Linked DNA regions of Cricetulus griseus. The protein of the gene in region 2 binds, or shares a complex with, the protein of the main gene of each other region. Links are inferred from orthologs where the notes say so. Each region holds a gene or a part of one and is shown on either strand. Other genes may lie near its edges.

What was found. Proteins that work in one complex are often made in the same cells at the same time.
Region 1: the proteins of Pparg (region 2) and Nfkbib are in contact, whole or in part, in a crystal structure (PDB 9CK0), measured with the Homo sapiens proteins. The link is inferred for Cricetulus griseus from reciprocal best matches to the Homo sapiens genes PPARG and NFKBIB. Residues at the interface, in NP_056953.2 of Homo sapiens: Gln322, Thr325, Lys329, Phe334, Leu339, Gln342, Val343, Leu346, Lys347, Leu496, Glu499, Ile500; in NP_002494.2 of Homo sapiens: Asn286, Pro287, Ile288, Leu289, Ala290, Leu292, Leu293, Arg294, Ala295.

What each region holds. Positions count from the first base shown.
Region 1 is NC_048602.1:7,099,422-7,110,398, forward strand, and holds the start of Nfkbib (NF-kappa-B inhibitor beta), read left to right. Parts: upstream 1-5,888; 5' UTR 5,889-5,967; coding exon 5,968-6,146; intron 6,147-8,652; coding exon 8,653-8,758; intron 8,759-8,841; coding exon 8,842-9,175; intron 9,176-10,258; coding exon 10,259-10,347; intron 10,348-10,430; coding exon 10,431-10,700; intron 10,701-10,977. Other genes in the region: Sirt2 (NAD-dependent protein deacetylase sirtuin-2), read right to left, coding at 241-354, 586-634, 4,714-4,760, 5,524-5,539. UniProt on the Homo sapiens protein: Inhibits NF-kappa-B by complexing with and trapping it in the cytoplasm.
Region 2 is NC_048601.1:29,371,242-29,381,432, reverse strand, and holds part of Pparg (peroxisome proliferator-activated receptor gamma), read left to right. Parts: intron 1-4,903; coding exon 4,904-5,103; intron 5,104-10,191. UniProt on the Homo sapiens protein: Nuclear receptor that binds peroxisome proliferators such as hypolipidemic drugs and fatty acids.

The DNA.
Region 1 (10,977 bases), on a different chromosome or scaffold from region 2:
AAGAGTTGGGTTTCCTCCATCTTTTTAATTTTAGAAAAGCTTTCAAGTAGCTCAGGTCAGCCTTAAACGCACCGCACAGCTGTGGCTAACCTTGAAAGGCTGATCTTCACTTCTGCTCAGGGTTGGGATTACAGGTGTATACCACCATACTCAGCAGTGTTTCTTGCTACCCATACCCAACAAATCTCAAGTCACTTTGGGCCAGGAGTGGGAGAAGCGGCCGAGCAGTGGGGGACTCACAGCGCTCGCTCTGCATGTAACGGGTAACTCCTTCAAGGCTCAGCTCATCCAGCAGACGCTCCTTCTGGGAGCCCAGGCCCAGGGTCTGGGAGAATAGATTCCGCAGGAAGTCCACTGACCAACAACAAGAGAGACAGTGCCAGGTGGGCATTGAGCCAGGTTCCAAGGCCCTCACCCCAACCGTGCAATCCTACTACCCTCCCACCACTGAAGTCCCCATGTCTCCCACAGCCAGCAGCCCCCAGTCCCAAATCCATTATTACATCACTCCTGGTAGCTCGAGGGAGTAACCCCCCCCCCCCCCGAGGCAGACGCCTCCCAGCCCTTCTCCAGGAAGACACTTACTCTCTGCCTCTCCGCCAGTCGCTCCTCCCTCAGTGTCCGAGTCTGTATCCTGGAAGGGGCAGGTGGGATGGCCAAGCCCAAGAAGTGGGGTTAGGGAGAAAGGAAGGGGGAAGGAATGGGGGTGACGCCTGGTTCAAAGAGACTAAGGGCTCTGACTGGGAGGTGGCCTGAAGAAGTAGAGGGCCAGAAAGAGGGCTCTGGGACAGGGAGGCTGCCTATAGGGAGGGAACCCAGGTCTCCTCATGTGACTGACATTTTAGGCCTTATCTTTTGTTGAGATGGGATCTCCCTGGCTGGCCTAGGACTGGCTCTGGAGACCAGGCTGGCCCAGAACTTCCAGAGATCCACTTGCCTCTGCCTCCTGGCTTAAAGGCGTGTACCACTATGCCTGCCCCCAGTTTTTCTTTTCTTTCTTTCTTTTTTTTTTTTTTTTTTTTTGGTTTTTCGAGACATGGTTTCTCTGTAGCTTTGGAGCCTATCCTGGCACTCGCTCTGGAGACCAGGCTGGTCTCGAACTCACAGAACTCACAGAGATCCGCCTGCCTCTGCCTCCCGAGTGCTGGGATTAAAGGTGTGCGCCACCAACGCCCGACTCAATTTTTTTTTTAGACCGGGTCTCACTATATATCCCTAGTTGACCTAGAACTCACTATACAGAATGACACCCTTGAACTCAGAGAACTACCTGCCTCTGGCTCTTTCTGACTGCTGGAATTAAAGGCGTGTGCCACCATGCCTACCATGCTTTTTTGAGATAGGGTTTTATGTAGCCCAGGCTGGCCTCACACTTGCTATTACGTTTATATGACATTGGAGATCACGTCCGACATTGTAACCAGTTGGCCATCACAGCCTGACAAGATGCTAGGGACTGTGAAGCCAGCCAGGGCTTCATGCACACTGGGCTTCAACTTGTCCATGCAGTCCAGAGACTGCTGCGAGGCTGAGCAGTGAATCCCTTGGCCTCTCTCTCGGCTGGTCCTCTACACTCCGCTGAGTCACCTGCCACAGCTAGGCTGCAGCCTAGTCACTGGTGATGCTGTTTCTCTGTCCCCAGATGGGAGCCTCTCAAGGTGACCTCAGCATCTCCCCGAAACCAGCTCCTGCTCCCATAGGGATGCCAAGTGGCCTCACTGTCCCTCTACTCAACCCTGTCCTTAGCGCCAGTTTCCAGTGTACCCACTCAGCCTCCAATATCCCTCCATTCACCCCCTCTCCCCACCCCAGAGCTCCGCCTGGTTTGGCCTGTTCTCTCTCCTGGGGTCCTGCTCTGGCTTTGTTGACTCAGTTTCTGTTTCTGATCCTCCTATTCCCCAATTATGGTAGCCTGTTTAGGGCAGTCCACCCCTCTCTTCTTTAAAACCCCCCTGAATCACAAACATCTACCAAGTGCCATAATATCATCAGCCACACAGCACAGGACTTTTTTTTTTTTTTATCTATGTTCACCATTTAATGCCCAGCCTAGATAACAGGACTTCCAGAACCATCTGCCACTAAATGTATGTAGTTGGGTGCTAGGCCAGAGCTGGCCTTGCAGTAATGTCAGAAATAGTCTGCCCAACTCAATCAACTAACTGCTCAAAAGTCCCCAGACTACCCCTTCCTTACTCTGCTTCCAAACCTCCTTTTCAAATTATTTTTTAAGAAGATTCTTTTGTGATTATTGCCTTTTTGAGACAAGGTCCCACGTAGCCCAGGTTGGCTCCAACTTGCTATGTATCTGAGGGTGACCCCCACTTCCTGACCCACCTACTTTTATTTCTGAGGTGTTGGAATTGCAGGGGTGTGTCAGCACCATGCCTGACTCGAAAAAGTGATTCTTTCCCGACTTTTAAAATCACACAAGCTATGCCTTTAATCTAAGCACTCGGGAGGCAGAGGTAGGCGGATTTCTGTGAGTTTGAGGCCAGCCTGGTCTACGGAGTGAGTGCCAGGACAGGTTCCAAAGCAATACAGAGAAACCATGTCTCAAAAAAAAAAAAAAAATCACACAAGCTGGCAAGAGGGCTCACCAGGGGAAGGTGCTTGCCACTAAGCCTGACAATCTGAGTTTGAACCCGGGTTCCTCGTGGTGGAAGGAGAGAACAGATGTCCTCAGATCACCACACATGCACTGTGGTGTGTGCATCCTACCCACAAAACAAACAAAGAAGCCAAGTTTAGACGTTAAAAAAGAAATCATACAAGCTTTTCTTTTTCTTTGAGGAGGGAGTCTGACTGTTTCACCCAAGCTGGCCTCTAGCCCATGATCCTCCTTTTCAGCCTCCTGAACTTTGGCATAATAAACACATGCCAACACAAAGCCAAGCAGCTGTTAAAACAGGAAGAACTCCAGCTGTTTTCTCTGTAGGAGTTTTTACTCATTACAGATGTGGGTCTTGCCAGAGTAAGGTACCTCACAGTGTTTCTCAGACCCACCTCATTCTTTTCTTTAGATTTATTTTTATCATGTGCTATGTGCATGTGCGTGCAAGTGCTCATGGGGTCAGATCCCCTGGCACTGGGGTTACAGTCCCTTGTGAGCTGCCTGATACGGGTTCTTGGAATGGAACTCGGGTCCTCTGGAATAGCAGTGTACATTCTTCGCCACGGAGCCATCTTTCCAGTGTCCCGCCCCCCACCCCATTCTTTATTGTGACTCCAGACTAACACATTGTGTGGTGAACCTTAGTTCACTGACTCCCTCTCCCGACAGCCACTGGGGCTATTTCTAAGGCTGCCCTGCCTGTATAATGCTGCAATTGACATCCCCACATCTTCTTTGCCACTGAGAATCCTTTCTGACCTTGAGACGCTTTGGTCTGGCATTAAGTCTTATTTTGGGAGCCAGACAAGTAAGATATAGACACCCACAGCAGGCTGTCCCAGCTGGGCTGTGCACTTATGGGGTGTTGCTGACCACAGCTTCTGTACCTGCCTCCTTTTGAAGAGCGGTCTCCCAGCGATGGGCATGCTGGCATTCAGGGGTTGTGGCACTGTCTAGTACAATGTGGGCCTGAGATCGCTTGGGGTCTGAGCGACCCTTTCACAGGGGCCAAAGATCAGACATCCTACATATCAGACATTTACATTACAATTCATAACAGCAAAATGACAGTTATGAGTAGCGACAAAAATAATCTTATGGCTGGGGAGGGGAGTCACCACAGCACGAGGAACTGTATTAAAGGGTCACAGCCTTAGGAAGACTGAGACCCACTGCTCTAGTACACGAGGACAGCCTGGCCTCTCGGGGCTCTGGAGGCGTTGGCAAGTGTCTTCAAACATCTTTGAGATGGTTCATCTGCCTCCCCACTGAACTCACAGAGTCGTTAGGGCCCATTTTCCTACAGGTTTCAAGCCCTTCCCCTTCCCTCTACTCAAGTGACACTGGGCCAAGTTCCTCATCGGTAAGGTGTCCATGAAAGGCCTGGCGCTCACTGGGATGCCAGAGAGGTCAGATGGAGGTTATGCACCTAAAGTACACCATCCCGGCAACAACTACTGAAAACATTTACTCCTCCTCCTTGCCCCCCTCCGGGGGGGGGGGCTCACCCTCTGCATGGAACACCATATCTGATCTTATTTAAGAAAATTCTAAACCATTTCACTCATGACACTGTGACTACATCTTGGTCTTGTTCCTAGATCAGCTTGTGAGTTCCTAAAAGGAAGAGTTTGGCTAGACCCTTCTAGAATCTTTTCCAACCCACAGAGTTTGCTGTGCGATCCTGGAGAGCCCCCTGGGATTATGGCTACATGACACCACACCCACCTGTGCCAGTTTTATAAGCAACCCTATAAGGTCATTTCCCCCACCCCATGAAATTTGTGAGTTTGGGGATCAAACTAGAAAACCATCTCTTCCAGGCCCAGCACAAATGAGGTTCAGAAAGGGCTGAGGAAAGGGTGGGTAACAGTAAGAAGACAATATGGAAGGGGAACCATATTGGGCATTTTTCCTTGACAGTCCCCAGAAGCCACCATTCCCCAGGAGGCTGTACTAATCCCCAGATGGAATTAGGGACCAGAACCCATAAGCCAAGGACCCTTGGGTAAAAGCCTCCCCTTGCCACCTCCCCCCAGTGTGGAATGTGGAACCAAGTCCATCTCTCTCCTTCCCTCCAACCCGTTTCCCCATCTCACCTGAGCCTCCTGCACCTTCCCTGCCTGGGTCTCCACAGGGTCAGAGGCTGGGGAGGAGGGGGAGCAGACGTGGTTACAGTGGGGGGGGCAGTTAAAGGGATGAAGGATTCACAGTGGTGGAGGCAACGAGAGAACCCACTAACCTAGTTATCCTGGAGTCAGGGACGGTAGTAAAACTGTCGGAGACGGGGACAGGCATATTTTAGAGTGGAAGACACATGTGTGAGGTGGAAAGGCTGAGGGGGAGGTTTAGGAGGAGAAAGCAGGTGCGACAGGACTGAAGGAAGACTTCAGAGTCAGGCAGGACGCGGTAGTGTGAGTGCCAGCCAGGAGAGAGAGGGAGGGCGAAGTTTTTCAAGAGATGGAAATGGGGATACCTCGGCTGGAGTTGAGTGTGGGAGAGGAGATGGAGTGGAGGCAGGAGGTTTAGGAGAGACACAGGAACTGAAGGAATGAGATGGAAAGGGGCAGCAGGGGTTCCCGAACATCCTACAGTTGCCCCTAACACCAGATAACCTTAGCAACCGGGATCGTAGCAACTTTGGTCCTTAGCAACGAGGGTTCTCAGCAACCAAGGTGCGAGAAACGCGATCATTAAGAACTTGGCAAACGGACCCTTCAAGAAATCTCACAACCCAGAATCCCACCAACCTAGCAACACCGACCACTTAGCAACGGCCCTCCAAATCCCACTCCCTTCGTGCAGCCCCTTCCTCCCACCCCACCGAGCCTGTCCTCGGGCCCCGGGGCCTGCAGCCCAAAGCCAGGCCCCGGCGCGGCCCGACCCTCCCACCTGGGCCCCCGACTCACGATCCGGCTCGGCCATGGGAGCGGGGTGGGGGCCCTCGGAGCTGTCACCGACTGCTCTGTCCCGTGACGGCACCGGAAGCAAGAGGGGACCGAGATAGGCCAGAGGACTACAACTCCCGGCAGCCCACGCCGTCCTCAGCAAACCCTTTCGCGCGACGAGCCGCTCGTGGCATAGAACTACAAATCCCAAAAGGCCTGGTGCCTGAAGCCATATTGATAAAGGGCGTCTGGAAAAAGTGGGGAAACTCAGAGAGCCGGCGTGCATCTCATTATCCTGATTGGTTCTGGCGACGCACGGGGGCGGAGCGTAGCCATTTAGCTTGTTTTTATTGGGTAGATGAGGGGGCGTGTTGGGGAATTCCCGGCAGGGCGGAAGCGCTGGAGCTCACCGCAGAGCCCAGCGTCGGGCGGGCGACCACAGGGGGCCACCGAGGTGGCTGGGCCATGGCCGGGGTCGCGTGCTTGGGGAAAAGCGCGGACGTCGACGAATGGTGCGACAGCGGCCTAGGCTCCCTGGGTCCCGACGCGGCGGCTCCCGGAGGACCAGGGCTGGGCGCAGAGCTGGGCCCGGAGTTGTCGTGGGCGCCCCTGGTCTTTGGCTACGTCACTGAGGATGGGGACACGTGAGTAAACCTTAAATTACCTACCAAACGGAGCCCCGGGATCCTACCTGAGCCTCCATCGGCTTGTGATTCTGTGACTTACTTACTACCTTCTGGTTCCTACCCCTGACTTCCGATACGAGCCTTCCTGACCCATACATAACTCCCCCCACCCCCAATCCTAAGTTGTGAGTCTGGTTTCACCCACGGTCAAGCGTCTCGCCTTTCTTGGAACTGTAAATTTGTGCTCCTGGAATCCGCATCCTTACCATGGGTCCCCATACCGCATCTGAACCTTTCCAACCCGGTCCCCCCAGACCTTTCCCACGAATTCTGACCTCTTGCTTCCAAATGTGGCTTTTGATCCGTAGCTACTCTTGTATAAGCCAGATTTTGATTCCCAAAATTAGTCCTTGGCCCTGAGTCTACGACTCTTGACACTTCCAGCATTGATTTGCAATTAAGAAATTGAAGTGATGCCCGGCCGTGGTGGCGCACGCCCTTAATCCCAGCACTGCAGAGGCAGAGGCAGGCGGATCTCTGTGAGTGCAAGACCAGCGTGGTCTACAGAGTGAGTCCCAGGACAGCCAAGGTAGTTAGTTACACAGGGAAACCTTGTCTCAAAAAACAAGACGACAACAGCAACAAGAGAGAGAGAGAGAGAGAGAGAGAGAGAGAGAGAGAGAGAGAGAGAGAGAGAGAGAGAGAGAGAGAGAGAGGAAAGAAAAGAAAAGAAAAAGAGGGGAAAAAGGAGAGGGAGATTGAAAAATAATTGTAAAATTTGACTGGGGAGAAGGGCAGCTGTGGTGAAGGGCTATGCAAGGGATTGTACCCGGGATTTTTTGTCCTTTGTGCTTTTTGCGTGTGCCCAATGACTCAGTGCCTGACCCATGAAGGGAACATAATAAGCACTCTTAAAGAACCAGGTGTAATTTCCTTAATTTTCTTATTTTTCACTTTCTATGTTATTGGTCCTTGTTCCTTTATTATTTTATTCTGATTACTTTTAGATTTGAATTTTGTAATTTTCTTTCTCCTCCTTCCTTTTTTGGGGGGGTCGGGCAGTCTCATGTAGCCCATGATGGCCTTGAGCTTGCTGTTTAGCTGAGGATAGCCTTCAATTTTTCATCCTCCTCTAAAGTATGCATCATTATACTCAGCCAGGGTGTGTGTGTAGACTAGAGGATAACCTTGGGTTGTTTTGTTTTGAGACAGTCTTTCACTGGTCCAGTACTCAACACATCGGCTAGGTTAGCTGGCCGGAGAACCTTAGCTTTTTTCGAGACAGATTTTCTCTGTATTGCTTTGGAGCCTGTCCTGGAGCCTCTCTCTGTAGACCAGGCTGGCCTGGAACTCTCCTCCCCGGTGTTGGATTAAAGGCATGTACCACCAACACCTGGCTGCTTTATGTAATTTGAAGGTTTGTTATTGGAGCCATAGTGTGTGTGTGTGTGTGTTGCTGCCAGTTAAGCCTGAGGTCTTGCACATGTTAGGCAGGTGCACCCCCAACCCACATCCCAGCCCCTGCCCTAGTTTTCCACTTTTTTTGTATTTTGTTTTTTGAGTCAGGCCTTCACTGTGTAGCCTTACACTTGTGATCCTCCTGCCTTAGCTTGGGAAGTACTAAAATTAGAAGCTGGGGCTAGGGCTCTCATACCCAGTTTGTTTGTCTTTGTGTATGTAAGTATGCTTGTGTTTGGAGGCCAGTGATTGGTGTTCACTGTCTACCTCAATTGTTCTACACGTTGTTGTTATTATTTGAAACAAGGTTTCACAATGTAGTCCTGGCTGACCTAGAATTTACCATGCAGACTAGACTAGCCTGGAATTCACAGGGATCCACCAGCTTCTGCCTCTTTCACACAAGCCACCATTTTTGGTTTTGTTTTTGCTTTTGTTTTGTTTTTTGGTTTTTTTGTTTGTTTGTTTGTTTGTTTTGTTTTTTCGAGACAGGGTTTCTCTGTGTAGCGTTGGAGCCTATCCTGGCACTCGCTCTGGAGACCAGGCTGGCCTCGAACTCAGAGAGATCCGCCTGCCTCTGCCTCCCGAGTGCTGGGATTAAAGGCGTGTGCCACCAACACCCGGCTTTGTTTTTTTTGTGACAGAATTGCACTATTTAGTATTTGGCCCTGCTAGTCTAGAACTTACCATGTAGCCCAGTCTGGCCTTGAAGTAACAATCCTTCTGCCTCACCTTCCCCAGGTGCTGGAATTTGAGCTACTACAGGTAGCTAAATTCTTTAAAATAAACACTGGTAAGACAAAGTTGGTAGCTGGACCTGCTGTCACAGGCTTGTCAGCCCAGCTACTCGGGAGGCCGAAGCAGGAAGAACTTGAACTCCCGATCAGCCTGGGTAGTTTATGAAGACCCTTGTCTTATCTCAGAACACCAATCAGGCAGACAAAGGAAGTTGCTGGATTCGCTCCTGTCCCTGGCTCTCCGGGACACTGAAGTGTTTCCAGTTATGGCTACAGTTTGCAGCATACAGTAGACACTCGTGTTTACTGACCTCTGCCTCTGTCCCCAGGGCCCTGCACTTGGCCGTGATACATCAGCATGAGCCCTTCCTGGATTTCCTCTTGGGCTTCTCCGCCGGCACTGAGTACCTGGACCTGCAGAATGACCTAGGCCAAGTGAGCCACTGGGGATGGGCCCCCTAGGGAGCCGGGTCCAGGATTGTCAGTGCTGCCCTAACCCCTCCCCTCTATCCCTATAGACAGCCTTGCACCTAGCAGCCATCCTGGGGGAGGCATCCACGGTAGAGAAGTTGTATGCAGCTGGCGCCGGAGTGTTGGTGGCTGAGCGAGGGGGCCACACCGCTCTGCACTTGGCCTGCCGGGTGAGGGCACACACGTGCGCATGCGCGCTGCTCCAGCCCCGCCCCAGACGCCCAAGGGATGTCTCAGATACCTACCTCACTCAGAGCCAGGACAATACCACAGACACCGGCCCCACCCCTGTTGCTGTGAACCCTCAACCCAACCCAGAGATCGAAGAGGATCCGAGTGATGAAGACTGGAAGCTGCAGCTAGAAGCTGAAAACTATGAGGGTGAGGGCCCTGGGCCCTGGGAAGGACGAGAGCCCCTGGCCAGAGTCAGGGAAACAAACCACCTGCTCTTCTTACCCAACTTGAAACACAGCCGCTGGCATAGAGCCCTGGGTTTGATTCCCAGCATAACCTAGCATGGTGGTGCCCTTGGGAAGTGAAAGCAAGAGGATCAGGAGTTCAAGGTTGTCTTTGGTGCTTTGTAGTTTGAAGCCAATCTAGGTTCAGGAGACCCTGTCCCATCTCAGGGTATGGCCGTGTGCAGCTGTGATCCCAGCACTTGGGTGACAAAAGCCAGGAGCAGAAACATCATGAGATCATGTTAGATGCATAGTGAGCCCCTGTTTCAAAAAGAACCCCAAAGCAAAATCATCCCTAGGCTCCAGGAATCCCAGCACTGGGACTAAGGACCTCCACTCAGCCTGGGAGTGTGAAGAATTGGACAGACAGGGCTTCTCTTTCCCAGATCTGGTCATCAAACTACTTGCAGCCCAGACCTGCCACCCACAGAGCCAGAAATGCCAGGATACAGTGGTTGAGCCTAGGCTACCCATCTGCAAGGTGCCTTTGTTCCAGAACTGTTCCCAAGTATAAGCCACTAGCCCAGCCTGTCCAGGATGGGAGGACCCATCTCATGCTCCGAGCCATGGGCAGATGGTGCAGAGCTTACCCTCCTCAGTCAGGCCTCCTGGGAAAAGAACTAAGGTCATCTGGTAGCCAGTGTCCCAGGTCTTTTGTGCAACTCCTTTTGTTATTGTGCTTTGTTTTGTTTTGTTTTATTTATGATGCTGGGGATGGAATTTAAGAGCTGTTCATGCTCGTCAAGCCCCTGTTCTTTGTGAAGGAAGACCAAAGACTTGATCCTGTTGGTCCACAGACTATGTGCCCAGACTCATCCCTTGTAGATCCCAGATACTGTACCACTCAGGCTTACACCCACCAGCATGCTGACACCCAAGACTTAGGCATCTGGAATTCGGGAGCCAGCCCCCAAACCTGGTATCTTTAGCTCACGTGGCCTTTCCCTAGGGTTGTGACAGAGCTGAGGCGCCTTAGTTTATCTGACACTGGTTGCTCTGTCCCCAGGCCACACCCCACTCCATGTAGCTGTCATCCACAAAGATGCAGAGATGGTCCGGCTGCTCAGGGATGCTGGAGCTGACCTCAATAAACCGGTGAGCCACTGTGGTGGGCCAGTGTGTGAAGGCACCCTCCCGTCTTTGGTTGGTCTCCCTGACTGATCTGGCATATCCCACAGGAGCCCACGTGTGGCCGGACCCCTCTGCACCTGGCGGTAGAAGCCCAGGCAGCCAACGTACTGGAGCTTCTTCTGAAGGCTGGTGCTGACCCTACCGCCCGCATGTATGGGGGCCGCACCCCACTTGGCAGTGCTCTGCTCCGGCCCAATCCCATCCTTGCCCGCCTCCTCCGTGCACATGGAGCCCCTGAACCTGAGGATGAGGATGATAAGCTCGGCCCTTGCAGCAGCAGCAGCAGCGATAGTGACAGTGACGGCAGAGATGAGGGCGTGAGTGAGGAGTGGGCGTCCCCACGGGAGGGGTCAGGGCAAACCGTGGCGGATGCTCCCAGGGACTTAGACAAGGGACACGTGAGATGAGGAGAAACTTATAGACTTGGGCAAGGGTGGCGGTGGTGGCTGAAGAGCTAAGGCAATCTGTCCTGGTGGCACACACCATTAGTCTTGAATCTCAGTATTCAGGAGGCAGAGGCAGGTGGATGTCTGTGAGTTTAAGGCCAAAGAACAAAGACGAGCCAAGTTAGACTTCCTCCAGAGGTGGTCACGA
Region 2 (10,191 bases):
AACCATCACTGATAGAAGAATATATAGATATATAGATATATCTGGTCCCCAATGCATAGTGACCATCTTTATTTCTGAGCTTTAACTTCAATCTTCTAGGAAACAGCTGCCCAACTTCCATGTCTTCCTTTGATTCTTCATTCACAGGGTGGGAACTGGGCTGATAATTTAGTTCCCTGGTAGAACACTTGTTCTACCGCATGTACCAGGCCCTGGGTTCCACCCTTATCACATCTTAAAAATAAATTTTAAAAAAATTACCGAGTTAAAAACACTAATACCTAACAACTTCTAAAAAAAAATCGAGACCAAGAGATTAACTAAGTGTTGGGGTTTGCTACTTTCTCTTTATCTTTATCTGCTGGGGGAGCAGTGGCTGCCAATCTGACCTGTAACCCACAAAAAGCACAGTCCCACACCACTTCATCCCCAACATAAAAGCCATGACAGGAAGTATGAGCTTGCACAGGTGTCTTGCTTAACCCTGTTTGTATCTTTGCTCAATACTCACCTGATGTGGGTGTAGCTGAAATCACCTGGACTCTAAATAAATGAATGCAACCAGCATTCTCCCCTTTAAAAGAAAAAAAAAAATTCCAGGAATGGGAACGCAACCTATAATCTCAGCACCTGGGAGGTAGAAGCGGGAGGATCAGGAGTTCAAGTTCATCCTCAGCTACATAGCAAGTTCAAGGCTAGCCTGAGCTATATGAAGCTCTGTTTTGTTCAAAGAAACAAAACGTTTCTCTACTTCAGATCTGTCACATTCAGATTTAGTACCACCAAACAGGACCTAGTCTCTTCCTTTTCCAAGCCCCTGGTGTGTAAAAATGCTAAATCTGCCTGTGGATCAAATTATGTCTAACTTGTAACAGTGTTAATTAGCAATACAGACAATTTATTCATGAGATTTAGCCTTTTTTGAGAACTTCAACTTATGAAAATATGCATTTTTTCAGATTCTAGCAGGGCACTATCTTAATGTATCCTAATTAAAGTGATTTTGTAAGGTTTTGGCTATTTTTGTTAGGTGAAGGAAAGCAGAACTGTCAATGTAATAAGTTATTTTCTTTAACTATTTAAATTAGCTGTTGTGTTGCCCACTAGGAAAGATAAAATGCATCTTTAGGCATGTTAATGTCCAGGAATGTTTATAGTTCCTTGTCTATAAAATTGTAATCATAGGAGGGGCTGGAGAAGAAATATCTCAGTGGTTAAGAACACTTGCTACTCTTGCAGAGGACCCAGGTTTGACTCCCAGCACCCACATGGTGGCTCACAAGAGTCAGTAACTTTAGTTCCAAGGAATTCTATGCTTTCCTCTGGCCTCAGAGACATTTCACACACATGGTACAAAGAAATATGTGTGAGCAAAATACTTATACACATTAAAAAATAAATCTTTTTTAAAAATTTAACCAGAGAGCAAGTGAGATAGCTCAGCAGATAAAGGAGCTAGCCACACTAACCTGAGCTCCATCCCCAGGACTCACATAGTGAAGAAGGGAGCCAACTCCCACAAATTGTCTTCTGGCCTTCTATACATGCAACATGCATACATACATACACACTAAATAAATGTTTTTTAATTAACCAGAACTTAGGACAGTGTAATATATGAGAGTCACTTAATAATTTTTTAAATTTATTTACTAATTATGTATACAGCATTCTGCCTCCATGTATGCCTCACACCAGAAAAGGGCACCAGATCTCATTACAGATGGTTGTGAGCCACCATGTGGTTGCTGGGGATTGAACCCGGGTCCTCTGGAAGAACAGTTAGTGCTCTTAACCTCTGAGCCATCTCTCCAGCCCCCCACTTAATAATTTTTATCAAGTAAAAAGACAGTGTGGGGTAGTCTGTGAAACAGTAAATGATTCTAGCAACTTCTATCTCACTATATAATAGCTCTGATTGTTTTTTCCAAATTTTATTTCACAATTTCTGTGGTGTTTTGTTTTTATTTTTATTTTGTTTTATTATTTGCTATGCTGGGGACCAAACCCAAGGCTTACCATGTATGTTAAGAACATACTCTACCACTGTGACCCATATACTCAGCCCACAATTTCTTCATCTTTTAATGTCATAATTGTTACTTTCTTTCATGTACATATTGACTCATATTCTATTTTTAAACTTGGTGTTTTGAAGTTTAATTCTTCACACATTTATTGTATACTATATGTAATTTGTTACACCCAGGAGCAAAAATAAAACTTGGTATTCATATAGCTTCTGTTCTAGAAGAATAACTAATGTAAACCCCTTAGAAATGTTGTAAAAGCTTCACATTAATATATGCATACAAGCAAGCCTACCATTTAGAAAGCTTTTTCAAACCCCACATAATGTAATATATAGTATATAATATAATATATAATATATAATATATAATATATAATATATATATACCCTCTTTGGGTATTGGGGTGGCTTATTAGAATGTTCCTCGGGAGACATGTAGTTTTAGAATGTTCCCAAGTAGTTCTCATACACTCTGCCCCTTTTCTTCCACATTTCTCAAAAAGACAACAAAACAAATGATTAGTTCTGTGTGAGAGAGGTGGTGGTTAAGAATGGCTTTGCAGGAGACTATGAAAGGATCTTCTACACGTTGTTAAATTGTTGTTTTGCATATATTAATGGGTCTAATTGTGGTATTTGCATATATGTATATCATATTCACCTCCATTACCTTTTCTTGTCCCTTTCCTCTTCCAAACTAGCTAGTCCCCTTCTACTTCCATGTTATTGTCATCATTGTCCTTCTTCTTTCTTTTCTTCCTCTTCTCCCTCTCTCTCCCCCTCTCCCTCTACCTCCTCCTTTTATTTTGTGACCTAGTGAGTTTACTTAGGATCACTTACAGAAGCATGTGTGAGGGTTACTTACAGGACCTTGGGCAACTTACCAGTGGCAACACTACTGAAGAAAATGCCTCTGCCTCTACAAGCAACCATAGCTACCAATCCTCAGAGAGGGGTGGGGCCTTGTTGGGCTTCATGAACATGTGTTTTATTCATTTTAGTTCAAAATGCTCTATAAGTGCTAAGTGCTGAGTATAATAAACAAGAGTTTAATGAACAAGACTCCTGTCTTCATGAAGACTACAGACTGGAGGAAAAGAGAAAACATTATTATTAACTACTATGGCCAGAGTTATGAAAAAGAGGAGAGTAGTGTCAAGGTCATAGACAGAGGGAGCCCAGTGGATCTGGGGACCAGGTGGGAAGGCCCCTCAGTAAGCTGACATTTCTTATCCCAGTGCAGCTAAAATGGAAGAGAATAATGGGAGGCTGCAATTTTGACTGAAAAAAAAGGGGGGGCAATTGTTTAAAGATTTCTTTTTGAAGGGGTCATGTACAAAGGTTATATTTATCAAAAGTATCTAAACATATTCTGATTTAATGTAAACTAGAGGCAAGCATCTCTATTGAGTATAATTGTTTTATTAGTGATAAAGTATAGGGCCAACTGAGATGAGTTTACACATATGAGACTCAGAGATACAAATCAATCTTTTATCTAAAACAAAATTGAGCTGGATATGGTAGTAACCAAGGATGCTAGTTCAAGGATTTTCAAGTTCTGGGCCACACTGTGCTATGCAGCAAGACCTAGTCTCAAGAATATAATATAAAAATAACAAGAGTTGAGCTGTAGCTCAGTAGTAGAACATGTGTTCACCATGCACAAGGCCCAAGAAGGTCTGAAAAGAATGTCAGATCCCCTAGAATTTGAGTTATAAATGGTTGTGAGCCACCAAATGCATGCTGAGAATCAAACCAGGGCCTCTACAAGAGTAACACATGCTCTTCACCACTAAGCCAACTCTCTAGCACCCCCATTTTAAATTTATTTTTTAAAAATATTTTTAAAACAACAATGAAGAATGACCACAAAGAAAAGCATTATTCAAAGTGACATTTTTACAAATGATATCAGAAGGAAGGCAGGAAAATTTATTCAAGTTGAAAACCTATAAACAGATTATTATTAATTTTATTTTCTGAGAATGAGATGTAGGTCTAACACATGCCAGGCAAGTTCTGTCCCCAGACAACAATTCACAAAGATTAATTCCCACCTTAGGCTCTGTGGTCTCTCTTTAATCTTTCTTTTGCATTCACACTTCCTCACCCCTTGAGAAGCCCAGGATAAAGGTGTCTTTCTGATGAACCTCAATAAGGGGTAATTCTACAGAGTTAGCGATAAGTCCAACTCCATCCATTCAATGTCCAAGTTCTCTGATCTACTAGATGGAATAAAGCACCATCCTTTCTTCACATCAGGGACAAGCAGATCACACAAACTGCCTGAGAACAGAGCCTGTGCTTGTACAACTGGGACTTCGTAGCTCCTTACTTAATTCATGAAACATGTAGATCCTCCTACCTGACCTTTTGTGAAGTGCAGAAGTTACCAAGATAAATAAGACAGTGTCCCTGCTTCAGGACATTGTAGTACAGAGGGACAAGAGTCAAATAAAGTCATAATTAAAGTGCAGTGTGAACACTTGGATCATTGGATGGAGTACTGGGAAAAGATAATTAGCTGTACTTGAAAGCCTGGCTCTTAAAGGATGGATAGGAATTATCTCTCAATTACTTCATGTTTGAATGAATGTGTATTCCTATTTGCTAAACAGATTCTTCCAATTTCCTAACAGGATCATATGTTGCCTTTTGAAATTGAAGAAGTAAATAATTCAATTTTCAGTTTTCTGTGCTACTGTTGTGAAATAAAAACATGAGCAAAGTGGTGGATAGAAAGCAGAACCAGCACGGGGTGGAGAGAGGAGGGGCTCCTACACTGTGGGAACCAAGGCTGGGGAGAGCACAATGCAGAGCCATAGTAATGATCCAATGATTCATCCTGTCATTCCTCTTCCTCTGTAGCCATCAGGTTTGGGCGGATGCCACAGGCCGAGAAGGAGAAGCTGTTGGCGGAGATCTCCAGTGATATCGACCAGCTGAACCCAGAGTCTGCTGATCTCCGGGCCCTGGCGAAGCATTTGTATGACTCATACATAAAGTCCTTCCCGCTGACCAAAGCCAAGGCGAGGGCGATCTTGACAGGAAAGACAACAGACAAATCAGTTAGTTCTCTTCTGCTCTCTTCATGGGGGTGGCTGGAGCCAGGGGTACTTTCTTGGACTAAATGATCTGCCTCAGAATGCATGTGTATGCAGAATATAGCTCAGCTGTGAACTGTTAAAATCTTGTGGCAGGCTGGGTCCAAAACACAGGAAATGTATTCAAATAGGATAAGTAAACATTGTTCTGAAAAAAAGAGCAACTCCTCCAAGCTGTAGTTTTAAAAACACACACACAAAAAAACTTTGAGAGTAACACACGAACTCATAGGTGATCACGATGCTCATGAATGAATGTGAAGCCCTCTCATGCCCCTACCCTCTTTCCAGACCCATCTCTTTGCTCAGTGTCAAAATAACTGGTGAGGACACAGTGTCTCAGCAGCCGTGGAGGAGGCTGAGCAGGTGTAGAAGGTGTTGGATCCCACTTTTACCTTTCAAGGGTTCCGGAGTCATTCTTCCCAAGTTGAAAGTTGGCACAGAAGTCCACCCAGGGTATCATGAAACCTGTGTTCTTACAGTACCAAGCTTTATTCCTGGGAAACTGGCGACTCTATCCTTTTATTATATACATGAATCCTACTTTCTAAGGATCTAAGCTGCCTAAGCTACTACAATGGAATATTTTATTATTTTATTTTATTATTATGGGGGTTTGTGCTAAATATTGATTAAACTCAAAGCCTCAAGCATGCACGTACACCTGTGCTAGAGCTGAGATACATGCCCAAGCCTCAAAAGGATCCTTAAGCGACATTGTTTAGAAAATTCATAATAGTTGAAAATCATTGTGGAGTCCAGTTTTGTAGGAAGCAGAAAGCTTCCAACATGAAGCTGAGAATCAACACCAAATTGCATTAAAATGAAAAAATACATGCTGCTTCCCATTCCACTGTCAGCTGGGAGCATGACTGGGTCGAGTCTCTGTCCCTCAGTTTTTACAGACAGGGTCTGGCTTTGATGATGTGGTCTACAGAATGTCTGTAGGCAGTAAGAGCTGCAGATCCCATGCAGAAGACCTGGATCCAGCTCTTGAGAACCTTAGTGAACATGCCCAGGACATCGAGGCAACTAATAGGTAGATTCATGTAACTTGATACACATTTGGATTTTAGAAAAAAAATCATATTTTGTTGACTCTCTCAGGTGATCTCTTTCTCTTTAATTAAATGACTTAGAGCATAGTCATCTAATGGCTGTGAGAAAGAGCCACATGCCACTAAGAACAGTTGAGTTTCAGATACACAAGGGCCCAGATCCTGCAATTCCCAAGTATTTTATACATTCTTTACATTCCAGCCACGGGGCCATCTGAAGGCTGCTATTGTTTACTACCATCTTCATTTAAGGAGAAGGAACTGAAGTGGAGAGGCATGTGCACATAGACATCGGAAGGCTATGATGTAAGCTTTCTGACGTCTAGTTGGGAGCATTCTCGGCATGCTATTCCCAGGACCACACATAGTACAGTGCAGTCTGTCCACTAAGCACAAAAGGCAGCCATAGCAAGTGAAACATGAGTGAAGACCTGTACACAGCTAATCTGACTACAGAAAATAAGCTTACTTCATTCCCATGTTGAAAGTAAAGGAAGACTGCAGCCACATGACTAAAGAGAATGAAGACTTGAAGGCAAATTGCAACAGCTTGCCAAGAGCAGGTGCAGCAAAGAGGGTTGGAGTTTGGGATCTCAGAACAAGGCTCTGGGGAGGGGGTTGCTGAAAGGCAAGGAGTCCCATAGTAGTCAGTTCAGTTTTACCTAAACCCATTCATTTTGCAGGCTCTGGGCTCTTATCGTCTTACCTCCAGCACACACCTGAAATCCATGCTGGAAATCCTATCAATTTAGTACTACTTAGAAGCTAAGTTGGAGAGGAGAGAGAGAGTGCAAGCCAGCCCACCCTAATAGGCAAGAATTTAAATTTATTTAATGGTAGCCAATGTAGTCCTATCATTGTTCTGAAAGACACAGAGCCCAAACCACTAGAAATCACTTGGAAACCTCATCCCAACTGACTTTTTGGCTCTAAATCTTTGAGTTAAAAATAAGATAATTGGAGGCCCTTTGTGAAACAAATAGCTATTAAGCTATTTAAGGAAGGGGCTACAAAAGCTTGATTATAGACTTCTCAATTCAGAGGCCAAGGGTTGTCATTTTTCCCTAAAGTAAGTAGGCTTGTGCTTTGCCCATAATAGTTACTCAGACTATTTGTTTAATTGAATTAAAGACTGTTGCTATGCCCTTTGAAATTATGGACTTTCAACAGAGGGCTTTTCACTAGCCCAATATTTGTTCATCAAACTAGACATCATTAGTGATTGGATAGTGACAAAATTGCCTCCAGTTAGAGTCTAGAAAAAGAAAAAGAGGCCCAGCCAAATATAAACAACCCATTCACTGATTATACAGAACTAAAATCAAATTGTTTGGCACTGTTTTCTCCTTTTCTGGTGAAATCAAACCAAGCACCAATGGAAAGAAATAGTTCAGTAGAGAATATGGAAGAGAAACCCAAAATGTGATTTGAAGTGAGATTTGTTCTTTATCAGCATGGTCCTATTATTCATTTGATAGCATCTATCTCAGGGGTGTTATGTTATCTCTTGGCCAGGACTGTGAAAGCTAAGATTTGCATTGATAGGGAAAGTTTTGCTGAAGTGTGGCCTCTCGAGATGGTGGGGGATGTGAGAAAGTGGCTGAGGCCATGAGGAGAGCAGCTTAGGTCTCATTATACACACAGCTTGCAGCTGATGTCATCGAATCAGTTAGGCCAAGCCTGGGGGAGGCTGCTCAGTGTAGTGGATGACCAATTACCCAGAACCCTTGCTAAAGGAAATGATCAGACTGAAGAGGCCATTCTTTACGTTTATCTCACTGCTCAATTTAACCATAGCCTGTTAGGAACCCACCAGCTGCTGCCCTCTCAGCCTTTGCCTCCAGGCCAGCAGGAGCCACTCCCCCTTCTCAGCTACACTTCCTCCTTCTATATCTTATCCCCTTGGGCCACTCACACCTTTCAAAACAGATAAATTAAGTGTTCCTGCTCTCCTCCTATCAACTTTAACATCATATCTTTGGGATAAGATACCAATATTTTTCATCATCTTGCCTCCAAAAATATGGGCTGGGTATGCTAGGCTCAAGGGGATGTGGGCTACAGGAACCCTAGAGAAATCTTAGGAGTGGTATGCCTTTTCGCCACCCTCGAACCCATTCTCCCCACCACCTGCTTTTCTTCCACTGGTTTGCTTCAACCACAGCCCCTCCCTTGCTGAAGAAATCCTATGGATCTCTGAAGCCCACACTGTGCTGGAAGGCAGTTTGATAACTGAATGGACTTTGGGGTGTTTGACTATCACGTTGGTGCAGTGCAGTGGTCACATGATCCCATGTTTGTTGATGAAAATAAACTGAGTGGTTTTCAAAAACCATTCTCAGTGCCATGGCTTGTCATAAAACAATAAATAGAAAAACCCTGGGTATGCCTGCCAACTCTTCACTGAATATCTGAGAGTGATGCCTGGTGAAGCCCTGGTTTGTATTCTATCTACAAATAGGAAATAAAACTTTTTATTTGTACTGTGTTGGACTTTGGGTTCCAAGGCATCATGTTGTTTATGACAGGCACATGTAAAGTCACTGTTCTTGTAACGACGGGGGCAAACTGGTGCCATTTGGAAAGTGACCATTCTGAATAGTATATGAAATACAAAACCACTGAATCATAAAGCCCATACAGAGCTGTAAACTGCTATGGAAACATTTCTGTGCCCACTTACATTTAAGCTTTCTAAAATATACAGAGGCCATCACATCATACTGACTTAAATCTTGGGAGAGATGTCTTCTTAAATCCTACTCTTAAAGTTAAACAAAGCATAGTCTCTCCCTTCACCTTTGAAGGGCCTGAATGAACTGAGGAAATAATATTGAGGGAGCTCATGGAGAAAGACTTAGGAACCCTGTAAGAATAAAGCAGAAAGCAGTGCTGAGTAATCTCCAAGACTAATGAACTTAGGTTCCTGGCATTGTTGATCCATCTACCAATAGTAATAAAATAATTTCTTTTATGACCAGAGTAATCAGCAATAGCTAACAGTATGACAGATCTAAACTAATAGTGAGGTGTTTTGTTTTTGTTTTGTTTTGGAGAAGAAACAAAAATATTCTTATTCTAGGTTTGGGTTCAGTGATAGAACACTCAGGGTGCCACTCCCAGTACCAGACTATAGCAATAATATTATTCAGCATAGTTAAGGAGGAAAGCAGTTGGGCTTCTTTATTTATTTTTATTTTATCTATCTATCTATCTAAGTTAGTTAGTTAGTTGTTGGACTGAGTTGGCCAGTACTCTTGGCTGATATTGAACAATTTATTTAAGAGCTGTGGTTATGTTTCATTTGAGTGTGAATAATTCTTATTAAGTTTTCATTTGTTTGTCTTAAATCACTAAACCACATGGGGACACATAATTACATCTGACAGACTTTCTCACTTAACTTCTATCATTGACTATAAGAAATATCATTCAAAAGTCACTGCTTGGGGACCTCAGCACAGAAGAGCTTGGGTTTAAAAGCCCTAGTTCTTTCCAGAGAAGTGATTTTATTGAAAAGGATTAAAATGCATGGAGAAGCCAGGGGAAAACATTATAGAAGAAGCAATCAGGAGGATGTGCCAGTTCTAGGTCAGGGATTGCTATAAAGAACTCTTGGACTGTGCAAAGTATCCTGGCTTTCAGTCTCTTCACACTTGGAGAGTAATCATGTGGCTTTCAGAAGAGCCTTTGCATTCTGTGGGTCCCATGTGGGTCAGCAGAGATACAGGAGCAAGAACAGAAAGGAGGTTGAGGAAACCAATGTACTTGGGGTTAGCATTCATTAACTGTAGCTCATAGAGGACAAGGTGTGTGCCTAACATTATGAAAACCAAGAAACAGGAAGACAGACAAAATCTAAAAGACAAGCTCTAAGAATGTAATGTTCTTTGGAAAACCTAAATATCTGGGAAGGCCCACGAAATGAGGCCCACATTTCCCAAACCCGGGTCTTGTTGTTTTGGTTTGGTTTGGAAACAGGTTCTCGTATAGC